Linked DNA regions of Danio rerio. The protein of the gene in region 2 purifies or fractionates together with the protein of the main gene of each other region. This does not show direct contact. Links are inferred from orthologs where the notes say so. Each region holds a gene or a part of one and is shown on either strand. Other genes may lie near its edges.

Region 1 (3,500 bases), on a different chromosome or scaffold from region 2:
GAGGTGGATCACACATGTGCAAGTCACAAGTCTAGAGTCATAACCTTTAAGTCTCAAGCAAGTCAAATCAATATCTGTGTGACTCAAGTCAAGTCAAGTCTGCATATTTCAAGCAAGTCAAATTATAGCTTGTCATAACACGTCACTGTCAATCACTTAATTTTTTATGATTTAACTGTTATATTAAAATACAGTAGTTGTGGACTATAAACGTTTCATTTGTTAAAGAAAAAAAACTGTTGTAAATTAATACACTGTAAATTGAAAGTAGAAACAACTCTGGGGTATTTAAACAATGAGGAGTGGGCTCATTGGTTGCTGAAGTGACGGCAGCCAATCATCCGCGCCATGTAGTTGAAAGCAGATTGGATAGGCCTAATAGAGTTTAAGGACCGAACCTCACATTTACCATAATCAACTACAATGATCAATGTCAAGAACTACATACATCGTCTATCTGTTCATTATCCTCGTAGAATTTGGCGAAGGACACCCAGAGACTGTGAGGCTTTCCAGTGGCTTTCATAGGATCTATTGTTTGCACAGCTTCCGTGTACGTGTTGATGATCTACAAGAAAAACAACACCACAAGACGCGTCAAAAACACCAACATAGTAGTAATGTTAAAACAAATATGAATAGATATTCAAATGTAAGTAATGGTTCTGACCTGTCGAGGCTGGCCCTCATAGAGTTTGACTCTCTTGTGCCACTCGTGAACGTTGTGAGGGTTTTGACGCAGCAGCACGCTGTTTAACAAAAGCGGCCGGCGAGTTATAAGAGACTCAAATCGAGCCAACCGCAACTCCAAGTCAATGTCATCTAGAGTAGAGAAATAAGCACTTCTGTAAGACCAAGGTCAAGGCTCAATTCCTGTAAGGTCTTCTGTGAAAAATCTCTCACCGTCTTCATCCTGGCCTAGTTCAGATGTGGTCTCCATTTTGGCAGCGATCATGCTCTCCTCAAACTGCGCGTAGCTGTCGAAAACTTGGGTGAAGTCTCGCACGGTCACAACTGTTAGGATGGCTTCTTCGTAAACATCTCGAGCCTTGAGGAAGCAAGACAGAAAATGTCATCAATTTGAGTATAAGTAATTGGTGAGTCTTTGTTTTGTTTTTTTGCTATTTTTAGAACGGCGCACGTGTCATTTTCACGTTTCGTGCCAAGTTGTTTAAATAACTAAAGTATTTGCGCCACTTTGTGCACTTATGGGTGTGTTGGTCTGAAAAGAAGGTTAAGGCACATTGTTGGCACCCTGCTATTTTGAGACGACTGAAATAAACCACATCATTGACCATCAAAAAGCTGGTCTAAGTCAATGACGCAGAGTTTTTAGACATCCTCTTTAGACATTGCACTTAGATTGTTAGAATAGAGTCCTTTGTGTTTTATTAAACGCGTGGTTTACCTTCTCGAAGTGGCCACTGCGGATGTAGTAATCGGCCATTGAGCACCAGAGTTTGCCCAGCTGGTCAGTGAAGCGAGTGAGGCCTCCTCTGATAATCGCTCCCACGTTCAGCGAGGTCACCTTGTCCGGGTTTTGTGAGATGAGATCACAGAGCTCGTGCCACAACTGGAATTCAAAATTTACATTTACAAAACAAAAATTTGAAAAATATGTTGCACATAATTCACAAATGTATTTATTAGTGGTGTAGCGGATCACAAATCTCACGATTCGGATCACATTATGGTTTTTAGTCAAGGATCAGACCATTTTTTTAGATCAGCCAATAAGGAAAAGAGACAATTGTAATTTGCTTTTCGTTATTACAAAAACAGTCTGTAGGAAATGTTGGTTCAAACAAACAGAACTTAGAACCTGTAACTTTATTACAATAAAAATGAAGAAATAATCAGCTGAAGAAAAATAAACTGTAAAATATTCAGTACTTTAAAAAAAAAAATACATACCTACCACTACTGTTACTGATAACGCTAAATATAGAAATCTAACATTATAATTTGTACAACCCATTTTTATTTTGTCTCATTTTCGATTTTCTCTTTTTTTTTATTTTCAATGATTCAGTTATTTACTCATAAAACGTCATGTTTCATTGCTAAATGTGTAATTTTTGAAGAATTATTCAGTGGCATATTTTTGATGGCTGATTGTTGCCACCTATTGGTTAAATAATGTAATAGCTGCTGTTAATTTTTGAGCAAATCTTTACCATTAATTTATTGTAAAGAATTTAATAATCATCAGTGGTTTTATCTAAACTATAAACTGTTATCTCAGTACTTCTTTGTTTTTTTACTGTTTGTAACTTCATAACTAACTTAAGACTAAACACTCAATCTCTTTCTTGATTTTTGCGTTTTCAGATTTGAATGCAGCGATTTGAAGGATTAATAAACATGCAAATCACCATTATTTATATTTATATTGTGTGGGTGTTAAGATCCCGATCTTTTAATAATTAATCATGCAGCTTACACTGAATCCATTAATGCAGGCTAAACAAGTAGTGACAGAAAACACCTTTAATAACCTAAGAAACCCACCACATCCCAAATAACCTAACACAACTTCTTCAGTCATCATTATATTTTACAGGAAAGCCTAAATGCTTTCATACATGTGATTTGCATGACGTGAGAGACGATCTCTCTGTGATCGTTACAAATTACGGGTAAATCTACAAGCAAAAAAGTATTAAAACCGCTGGTCACAGGTGTTCCAAACCATGGGTTGTGATACGTACGAATCACAAATCAACCATGATCTGTTACATCCCTAGTAATTAGGGTTGTGTGATAGAGCAAAAATATATCTTTTAAAGTTAAATATCTATATAAGTTAAAGAGATTGTTTACTCAAACACTCATCCTCTACTTGTTCGTGTTTTTTTTTCTGTAAAAACACAAATGAAAATAAACTGAAAATGTTGGAGAAAACAGTCACTGATTAACATAGTATATTGTAATCTCCCTGTGGATGTCAAGGGATGTGTGTTTCCAACATTTTTCAGAAGATCTTGTTTTGTGTTCAACAGAGGAAAAAAAGTGTGAGTAGTGTGAGTAGATGATGTGGAAATTTTCATTTTTGGGTAAACTATCTCTTTAATAGTGTGTTTTTGTGCCGGTGCGATCGATAACTAAATATGACACTAAAACTGCCAGTGAGACACTATTGTCTGCTTGCACAACATTACAACAATTATCATTTTAGACAACAAATACCACCCAACCCTTTTTTTAAATAAAAATGTAAGTTTCCAGAGAAAAGCTAAACTCATGATGCTAAACATAATATGACTATCAATTGAATAATAACCCAAATATCGAATGATTTCTGAAGAATCATGTGATGTGAAATATGTTAAAAAACTAAAACAACCCTGAACTATAGTAATGTTTTAACATACAAGATTTACAGGACACATACATTTTTTTAAGTAACAATCTGTCATTTGCTGACCTGATAATTGGACTTTCCTTCTTTAGAAACAAAGTTTTCATCATTGACCACAGCAGCCAGACGTAATGCGGCT
Region 2 (3,967 bases):
CGTATGCTTTCACCCATGAGAGGAGTGGGCGGGTCTGCGACCAGCTCCTCCATGGCTGCAGGACCAGATGGCTGCCCACCCTCATCGCACTACATCCATATCCCCTGTTCCCATCCCAGTTGTCAATGTTGTGTCTTGTCTGTGTGCTTTCTTGTGCTAGATGGGCTGTTTTTCTCCGTCTCAATTTGCTCTAATCAAGAGCAAAGTTTAGAGGGTATTTTTTGCCTAACCCTCCTGATGCATCTTGCCTTTCTAAATGCTACCTCCTGTGACCTGTCTTCCCCTGAAAATTGTGATGTTTGTGTACGGTCAAATTTCACAATACGAAAGTGTATGTGACAAATAAAGGCCTGATTTGATTTGATAAAGCCTAGACAAACAAGCCATCAGTATATTGTAAACCGATGGGTTTAAATATTCCTTTCCAGTTATCAAAGAAATATTTTGTTCCTTCATTTTAGTTTTGTAACTATTAAATTGTTTTAAATTCAAAATTGTAATATATACATCACTGTAAAATCCTATAAATGGTTATCTCTACAAAAGATGTCTGTACAGGCGTACCTGTTCCAGACAAAATCTCTTCAAAGTGTTTCATATTAAACTCAAATCAAATGCGGCACCGCACACACTGTTTGCTCGAGTGTAAAGAAAAAAAACTATTCCCGAAATCATGTTGTACGCACCCAAACCTCCGCAAACTCCGCTACGATGTCACATTGGCTGCGCCTACTCAATCGAACTAGCTTAATTTTAATTATGTTCCAGAGAATGATAAAAATGATAAAGCTCTAGCATTTGACAAAGGACAGCTTCCAGAATGTTTCCAAGTTCAGTGTTGGATTCGGCTAAAACTCCTCCAAAGAAGCAGAAGTTGCAACCATAATAGACAAAACTGATATTTATATTTGTTATAATTGATCTACTACATGCACAGTTTCTATCATTAACGGTATGCTGAAGCAAAGACACAAACAAAAATGTAAACAATGGGAAATGCTGTAGGGCACTACTAACAATTTGGCTACAAATTCATATTTGTCCATCAAACCCTTGTAAACAGCCACAATCTTTACCACGCTGCAGTGTCTATGAGGTCGATTTCCCTGTGTTCTACATCTCAGACAACAAACTCGCAAAAGATATGTGAAAGTTTCATATTACTTACACATGCTTATTCCGGATATATGTGAAAGACACTTGTCAGGTTTTATTTTAGAGAACGGGCGTGAGGTTCAGCTGTGTCCTTTTCTTTTTCTTTCTGATTCAGGCTCAAACTGATATGACTAACAGCTAAACTGATTGACAGTATTTACACAAGCAAAGGCACAGTGCATGCTATTAGAGGTGCATTTCCTGGTGACGTGGAGCCGATCTGTGAATCACAGCACATTATGTTAGCTGACCAATCAGAGCCTCTTGAGGACAGGCTTTTGAAGAAACTAGGAAATGACAGTTGTTTTCATGTTAGCTGAGTAGTTGTATATAATCAAAGTAAGATGTTCTACAAATTAAACATGAGCACACATTGCTTTGCATCTTATAAACACAACAAGGCTTAAAAATACACTCTGGACCACCCCTTTAAAAGCAGGACAGTCCAATGAAATTTGTTTTGCAGATAAGGAAATCTTGTAAAACAAGCATTGAGTAGGATCTTCACAGTGGTGATGAACAGCCTGTCAAATGCTGTAAAATGTTATTGTAAAAAAACATGGCTTTAACAAACCCTGTAACACGAGTTTATAAATCACCACCACCATTCAAAATGTCTTTTCTGCTTGAAAAGCCAGTTTGCTCAAAAATTAAAAATGATTCACCCTCCCAATTGATCCAAACTTGTCAGATTTTTTTTTAGTTGAACACAAAATAAGACATTTTGAAGAATCTTGGAAGCCGGTAGCCAATGATGTCCATTGAGGAAAAGTTGGTTTTATATCCGTACATTCTTTCAGTGATAACTTGTGACATGCTCCCTATATTGTTTACCTAGGTACTTTGATCATTCAGTCTGAAATCACATATAAATATGACTTCAAAACAACATTAGCACCATTTATTTGACTGTGAACAATACTGTATTTTGATAGTCGTGGCTGCTAATATGGTTTTCCCATTTAAAATTTGCAAAGATTACTTTAACAAAAATTATATTATTAAGGAGAAAGTCCGAATGAGCGAATACAAAACCAGCTTCACCTCAATGTGACGCTTATAATATTTTCCCTACTATGAATGTCAATGGCAACCGGTTTCCAAGATTCTTCAACATATCTCAATTAAATAGAAACGTATTAAGGTTTGGAACCATCTGAGGGTGAGTGAAAGGTCTATATCGATTTTAATTTTTAATCAACGTTGCCATACAATACTGAGAGCAAAAAGTTTGATTATTTACCTCTGCTCGTCCTGCGCTATAGGTTTGGCATGATCCGCCACAAACATATCATGAGTCCGTTTCAAAGAGCGAAACACAAGCGTGTGGACTGAGTGCTTCTGCACGTCCTGTGTGTATAAAAAAGACAAAATATCAACATCGATTAATTGATTGGATATTATAAGACGTATATGCAGATCCAAATGACCACACGTGTGGTAATACAGTAACGTTACGCCGCGTTCAATTACAGAAAAACTAAACAGATATCATTTTCAAATGAACAACGGCTAATGCAACAACAGCACAGCCTTACCTCGGTCATGTTTGGGGGTCCTTTAAAACACGACGAACTAACGCAAATAAAGAAACTTCCCAACACACCGAACAATCACAACCCGAACCAGTAGTGCAAACGTACGCACAGCTTCCGGGCGCGACAAAGCGTTTTCCGGTAGGGTGTTACGTCAGCAAGACACGACAGTCCATTAAAAGTCTTTTTTTTTTCGTATTTTATTTTTATTTTTTTATCACCAAAAAGTCAACTTATGGCCATTTACAATAAACACAACATTTACAGTATCGATGTATTTGGCTGCCAACAACTTTGGGAAGACCACATTAAACACTAAAGTTAATGACTGCTTATGGGTTCTAAACAAACAAACCAATAAATAAATAAATAAATAGATAGATAGATAAATAAATAAATAAATAAATAAATAAATAAATAAATAAATAAATAAATAAATAAATAAATAATGTAAAAAGGTCAGGCAGCCAATTTAATTTATTTCATCTGCTAGTTTTGAAAATTTAGGATGTAGTAAAAGACCTACTAGTGAGAATCCACAAGGTGGCACTATAAAATAATATACTTTTTTGCCAAGAGAAAGTGTTTTTTTTATTTACATATTTTTAGATATATGTTAAAATTTGGTATATGATGCTTTATAAATATTACAGACCTTGAAAAAAATGTTTGTTTATATATAATAATATTTAAGTGATTTTATATAGCCTAAACTTATGAAAATACCTCCAAACATATTTTTGTTCATGTTCCATAACTCTGGTCACAATTTGTTTTAAAAAATAAGAACATTTTACTAAAAATTTATATTATTTGATTTTCATCAGCTTATTTAACATTTCTTTCTTCAAGTTTATTATTATTATATAGGCTAATATTGTTTATGATTTTTTATTGTAACTAAATGCGGCCATCCCACACATTTACATGGTCCTTACCGGAATTAAAATAGCTTTTATTATGATAGTTTATTAAAGCTAAAAAAACTACTTTGTATGAAAACAAAATTAGTAGTCCTATGTAAACTGACTGACTGGGCCGCCTTGATACCTTACTCACAAGATATCAAAATATGAGGTAAATATAATATTTTCTGTGTCGTTTTTTATTGTGTGTCCTTACCATACCATACATTATTGAACTACAAAAAGAAATGTTTATTACTGTTTAATTGATGTATATTAAGATGATAGCTATCTAAACCTTGATAGCTGCCATCAACATGGCATATTTGCAATAATATCATTAAAGGATTGGTTTACTCAAAAATGAAAATT

The links.
Region 1: the proteins of plrg1 (region 2) and xab2 purify together in Homo sapiens (affinity purification with mass spectrometry; 3 studies listed by BioGRID and IntAct, counting the BioPlex papers as one, with this or other methods). This does not show direct contact. The link is inferred for Danio rerio from reciprocal best matches to the Homo sapiens genes PLRG1 and XAB2.

The regions. Positions count from the first base shown.
Region 1 is NC_133178.1:55,865,549-55,869,048, reverse strand, and holds part of xab2 (pre-mRNA-splicing factor SYF1), read right to left. Parts: coding exon 3,428-3,500; intron 1,574-3,427; coding exon 1,409-1,573; intron 1,049-1,408; coding exon 904-1,048; intron 823-903; coding exon 671-822; intron 569-670; coding exon 449-568; intron 1-448. UniProt on the Homo sapiens protein: Involved in pre-mRNA splicing as component of the spliceosome. Involved in transcription-coupled repair (TCR), transcription and pre-mRNA splicing.
Region 2 is NC_133176.1:27,248,519-27,252,485, reverse strand, and holds the start of plrg1 (pleiotropic regulator 1), read right to left. Parts: upstream 2,801-3,967; 5' UTR 2,703-2,800; coding exon 2,694-2,702; intron 2,506-2,693; coding exon 2,399-2,505; intron 1-2,398. UniProt on the Homo sapiens protein: Involved in pre-mRNA splicing as component of the spliceosome. Component of the PRP19-CDC5L complex that forms an integral part of the spliceosome and is required for activating pre-mRNA splicing.